Linked DNA regions of Callithrix jacchus. The protein of the gene in region 2 purifies or fractionates together with the protein of the main gene of each other region. This does not show direct contact. Links are inferred from orthologs where the notes say so. Each region holds a gene or a part of one and is shown on either strand. Other genes may lie near its edges.

Evidence for each region. Proteins that work in one complex are often made in the same cells at the same time.
Region 1: the proteins of MAD2L1BP (region 2) and MAD1L1 purify together in Homo sapiens (co-immunoprecipitation; 4 studies listed by BioGRID and IntAct, with this or other methods). This does not show direct contact. The link is inferred for Callithrix jacchus from reciprocal best matches to the Homo sapiens genes MAD2L1BP and MAD1L1.

What each region holds. Positions count from the first base shown.
Region 1 is NC_133503.1:56,827,767-56,831,351, forward strand, and holds part of MAD1L1 (mitotic spindle assembly checkpoint protein MAD1), read left to right. Parts: intron 1-597; coding exon 598-679; intron 680-2,440; coding exon 2,441-2,571; intron 2,572-2,724; coding exon 2,725-2,839; intron 2,840-3,585. UniProt on the Homo sapiens protein: Component of the spindle-assembly checkpoint that prevents the onset of anaphase until all chromosomes are properly aligned at the metaphase plate.
Region 2 is NC_133505.1:52,113,281-52,115,562, reverse strand, and holds the end of MAD2L1BP (MAD2L1-binding protein), read right to left. Parts: intron 1,491-2,282; coding exon 978-1,490; 3' UTR 578-977; downstream 1-577. UniProt on the Homo sapiens protein: May function to silence the spindle checkpoint and allow mitosis to proceed through anaphase by binding MAD2L1 after it has become dissociated from the MAD2L1-CDC20 complex.

The DNA.
Region 1 (3,585 bases), on a different chromosome or scaffold from region 2:
GGCTGGGCTCAGCCAAGGTACAGACATGAGAGCCTTGTGTGGAGGTGCAGTCAGCACCTCCTAAGATGCCCAGCACCGGGGGCATCTCCTACCCAGCATTTAGGAGATGCCCAGCACCATGGGCTTCTCCTACCCAGCATTTAGGAGATGCCCAGCACCATGGGCATCTCCTAAAGGGTTTGACCCTTCCCTCGGCAGATGTGGTTTTAGGAGAGTTCTAGTTTCGTAGTAGAGAGGAGAGGTCATTTCTGGGCGGGGCTCTGCCACAACTGCACCAGGGCTGCGGGTTGCGGCCGGCAGGTGAAAGTGTGGGTGCCGCTGCTGTCGAGGACCTTGCAGGTGGCTTGGGCTCACTATGCACTCTGTGCGGATGAGCAGACTGAGGCCTCAGAGCCAGCCAGCAGGGGCTGGGACCCAGGACCTTAGGGTACCCATGCAGTGGGAGTGTGTGTGGAGGGGTGTGTGCAGGTGGGGGTCCTGAACCTTGGGGTGGGAGTGAGAGTGTGTGGGTCTGTGCTGGGGCGGATCTCAGGCTGAAGAGAATTGTTGGCCTTGCCACATGCCTGTTTCTGTATGTGATGTATTTTTTTTTAATAGAAAATGGCAGGAAGCCAGTCAGAAAATCCAGGAACTCCAGGCCAGCCAAGAAACGAGAGCAGATCAAGAGCAGCAGATTAAGGTGAGTTGCTTGTGTCAGGTGCCTTGTGGACATCCCTGTGGTGGCCTTGGCTCTCTTGCCCTTGTCGGCCTTTCTGCACCAGTGCCGAGCTCTGTGGGCCTCCTGTGAGATTTGCTGCTGCCCTGTGTGGTGGGCATTTTGCTGGGCACCAGGGATGCCATGGTGAATGGGGCAGATGCTGCTGACCTCAGGGAGTGTGCATTCTAGAGGATGGAGACTGACCAGAGACACGAAGAGAGTGTCCGAATGTATGATGATGTCAAGTGCTGAAGAGTGTGAGAAGGTGATACAGGCATAGAGGGGCTAAGAAATCTGCCCACAGTTGCACAGCTGGAGCTGGGTCTCAGTCGGGGTGACCTACTCAAGCTCATGCTGTGCCCTTTCCCTGTGGAGGGCATGCCAGGGAGACGCCGACTCCGGATCCCTCTCCTACCTCCTGTTGCCTGGAGAGCAGCTTTCAGACCTTGTGCTCCAGCTGTGCCCTATTGGCCCCCCATGTACCCTCACCTCCATGCCTCAAACCAGCTCTTCCTGGCTGCAGAGCTGACTGTCACCCCCAACCTAGCCTCTGCCATGTCACCTCCTGGTGGTGTTCCCTGGCCCCTCATCCTCCTGTCTGCATCCCTCGGCCCACCTGTCAGGATTTGCTGGCTGGTGAGGCCTGGTGTCTGCCACTTGACTTGGTACATCGCACAGAGATGGACTCTGTTAGTGTTTGTTGAATGACCATCTGGTTTGGTTGTGGTTTCATCCTCTGCCTGTTCACTGACTTGCTGCTCACAGATGTCAGCTGTCTGTGTCCCAAGGAGACTGGGTACCATAGGGAAAAGCCTGTCCTCACTATTGGAAAGAGTAAGCCGTTACACACATGCTACTAGAGGGGCAGAAGTGGGCTTGACACAGGAGGATGGGATGTTTCACCATGGAGTGTCATCTTGGGCCAGACTTGAGATAGACTTTTGCTTCTAGATAGCTCCCTGAGGGCAGGACAGTGGTGTGCACAGTAGCCCAGCGGTGTGTGGTGAGTGCCAGCTCCCAGTGTGCAGTGGGCTGGGAGGACGGTGTTGGGAAGAGCTGCCCTGGACTGAATGCCGAGGCTCAGTATTGGAAGCAGCTTTGAGGGCCCTGGTGCAGCCCGGGAAGGCCTCCCAGAGGAGAGTCCTGAGCCATGGAGGCTGCTGAGGACCTGGGGCAGTTTAGTGGAGGAACTTCCTGGCCTCAGTGACTTTACTCTTTAGGGGATGCTTTTTTCTATAGCAGATTTAGGTTCACAGCAAAATGAGCAGAAGGTAGAGCTCCTGTGCACCCCTGTTCCCCGACCCCCCCCCCAAAAAAAAGCACACACCGCCTTTCCTGGTAGAGTGGAGCACATATGACGGTTATGAACCTGTCTTGATGCATCAGTGTCAGGGAGAGTCCACAGGTCACTCAAGTGTCTCTCCTAGAGTGGGACAGTGTATGGTTTGGGCAAATGTAAAATGTCCTATATTCACTGTTAGAGTGTCACACAGAAGGGTTTTACTGCCTAAAAATCCTTTGTGCTCCCCCAGTTAATCCCTGACTCTCTCCTTTTGAGTCGCTGACAATTCCCAAACTTTTGCTGTCTCTATAGTTCCCCCTTTCCCAGAATGTCCGTGGTTGGATCCTAGCTCCTGTAGCCATTGCAGACCAGCTTCTTTCTCTTAGTCGTGTGCGTGTGATTTTCTCCAGGTCTCTTCATAGTTCATTTTTCCCTTCTTCTCTGTCCCTGGCCTCCATCAGGATCTGGAGCAGAAGCTGTCCCTACAAGAGCAGGATGCTGCTATTGTGAAGAACATGAAGTCTGAGCTGGTGCGACTCCCTAGGCTGGAACGGGAGCTGAAACAGCTGCGGGAGGAGAGTGCACGCCTGCGGTGAGGGGGCATGGGGGATGGAGTAGCCTGTAGTGAGTCTGGGTTTGTGTGCAGGAGCCTGTGTTGCAGACCCTGTAGGGGCAGGGCTCCTGGGCTCTTGGCTTCATCCCCAGGGTGTGTGGCTATTTGAGCAACTCTTTGTGGCACTGCCAGGGAGATGAGAGAGACCAATGGGCTGCTCCAGGAGGAGGTGGAAGGGCTACAGAGGAAGCTGGGACGCCAGGAGAAGATGCAGGAGACACTGGTTGGCTTGGAGCTGGATAACGAGGTGAGGGTTTGTGCAGAGTGGGTCGTACCCTTGTGTTATAGGGTGGGAGGCAGAATCATGGTCCCCAGAGAGGTCCATGCCTTATCCCCAGAGCCTGTGAACACGGCACCTTCCCTGGCTGGGTGATTGAGGTCACAGGTCAGCTGGCCCACAGTGTGGAGGGGCTCCTAGGCCATCCTGGGGGCTCAGAGTGACATCAGAGGGACTTGGCAGCTCCTGCTCGGTGTGGAAATGGAGGAGGGGCCACAAGCCAAGGAACAGGGGTGCCTCTGGAAGCTGGAAAGAGCAGAGAAGTGGACTCTCCCCTGGAACCTGCAGAAGGAACTCAGCCCTGCCAACACCAGGATTCCAGCCTAGGGAGACCCATTTTGGATTTCTGAACTAGAATACTATAGGATATTCCATTTGTAGGCCTTTTTTTTTTGAGACAGAGTCTTGCTCTGTTGCCAGGCTGGAGTACAGTGGCATGATCTTGGCTCACTGCAACCTCTGCCTCCCTGGTTCAAGCGATTCTCCTGCCTCAGCCTCCTAAGTAGCTGGGACTACAGGCATGTGCCACCACGCCCAGCTAATTTTTGTGTTTTTAGTAGAGACAGGGTTTCACCATGTTGGCCAGGATGGTCTCAGTCTCTTGACCTCTTGATCCACCTGCAGCCTCTCAAAGTGCTGGGATTACAGGCATGAACCACTGGGCCCAGGCTGCTTGCTGGGATTCATACTTGAATTCATGGGGCTGGGAAGGAGTG
Region 2 (2,282 bases):
AGCCTCAATCAAGCCTGACAAGGCTTTTTTTGAGACAGAGTCTCCGTGTCACCAGGCTGGAAAGCAGTGGCATGATCTCGGCTTACTGCAACCTCTACCTCCTGTGTTCAAGCAATTCTTCTGACTCAGCCTCCCAAGTAGCTGAGACTACAGGCGTGTACCACCATGCCCAGCTAATTTTTGTATTTTTAGTAGAGACGGGGTTTCACCGTGTTGGACAGCATGGTCCCGTCTCTTGACTTTGTGATCTGCCACCTCGGCCTCCCAAAGTGCTGGGATTATAGGCATGAGCCACCACGCCCAGCCTTTTTTTTTTTTTTTTTTTTTTTTGAGACAAGTCTTACTCGTCACCTAGGCTGAAGAACATGGGATTACAGGTACCCACCACCATGCCCATCTAACTTTTTTGTAGTTTTAGTAGAGACGGGGTTTCACCATCTTAGCAGGCTGGTCTTGAACTCCTGACCTCGTGATGCACCCGCCTCAGTCTCCCAAAGTGTTGGGATTACAGGTGTGAGCCACTGCACCTGGCCAAGCCTGACAAGTTTCTTCAAGTCAAAACAGTTTCAGGAAAATATAATAAGAATCTATTTATATTTAAGTTCATGAGTCACATCCACATTATGTTCCTGGTAAAAATTCAGAAAGAACACAGCAAAGAGCAGAAAGGGCCACCTCCATAGAGTGTCTGTCTATGGACCCATCTTTGCTTTCCAATCCCTAACAGAAACACTGACCCAGCACCCTCTGGGAAGATCAACCTTTGATTCAAAGAGATGTTGTTCAGCAATGATTACAGTCACAGCTACATGCCATCAGCCCACCAGGAAATCTGAGGAAGGAGGCAGACAACCAAAAGGAGAGTTGCTTCCTCTCTCACCAGGAAGCAACTCTAGCTCCAAACTAGATAGGTGATTCAGTGCCACATGGAGAAAGATAATTCAGCCATTGTGTTTTCAGGATTAAGAAGCGCTCATTCACTCGCGGAAGCCTTTAAGTGTCACTGGTGCCTGGAACCAAATGTAGTCTTCCCAAGCCGTGGTTCGGATGGAAGGTCTGCCACATGACAGGGTCACAGTCAGTTTGTGGCCCCGGCTGGGCACTCGATAGTTGAGCTTGGGTCGAAACCAATCTTCTCCACAGTCGCGGTGTCCCTGTGCCATGATGATGGTGCCCATGAGTGGAGGAGCCTGAAGCTCGCTGAAGGCATCAGCCATGAATATGGCTCTGAAGAGATGGCGCAAACAAGCTGCTGTGCTCAGGCTCTGATCCACGCTGTAGGGGGCCAGCCGAGACAAGTCGAGTTCGTAGAACTCCTTGGGGCTTAGGGCATTGCCCCCAAGGAGAATCAGCACTCGTGGTACTAGTGTCCGTGCAAAGAAGTCCTCTAGATGGCTGAGGACACTCTCCAGTTCTGCCAGGGCTTGTTGGCATTTCCTGCTGCTCACCTCAGTGGTGGCCCGAGGTTTCTTCTTCAGCATCTCCTCTGTCTGTAAGGACAAACAATGGTGGGAGAGAAGGATAAGACAAGGAGAAGCTAATGCCCTTTGAAAAGAACCCTGCTGGGATGTGTACATAGACTTACAGGACTAAAGTTCTAGCTCAATGAACTGCCATAGCTAAAACACTGTGTTTTATCAGAGGGCATTATATTGAAAAGGAAAATATATTATTTGTACAAAACCATAATTCTCCCACATTTAGAGGAGCAAACAGTGTTCTGAAGGTGGAGGGCATCCAGATATAAGCAACTAAACAAGAGATTTGATGGCATGACAAGTGATAACAGGAATGAGGATTATTTGGTCTAATAAACATAACTTTGAACTTGTTCTTCCACTTAAATAGTAAACTGAACACATGCTTATTTGTGCTTCCACCTGAAATACTACAAAATGAGAGGAAAGAAATTAAGAAACAAAGAAAGGAAAGAGCAAGAAAGAGAACGCCAAAGGGCAAAAGAACTGGAGACTATACAACACTGGCCAAAGGCAAACACAAAGTTTTGGAAGATAGCAGATGAAGAGGCCGGGCATGGTAGCTCACACCTGTAATCCAAACACTTTGGAGGCCAAGGTGGGCAGATCACCTGAGGTCAGGAGTTCAAGACCAGCCTGACCAACATGGTGAAACCCTGTCTTAAAAAAAAAAAAAAAAAAAAAAAAAAGCAGATGAGGAGTTAAGAGTTCAAGTGAGCTGAATACCAAGTGCTGACAGAAGGGACTCCCAAGGGATCCAAACTGATTCATAGAGCAGAACCCCATAAAGGTTTAGTAATTGGT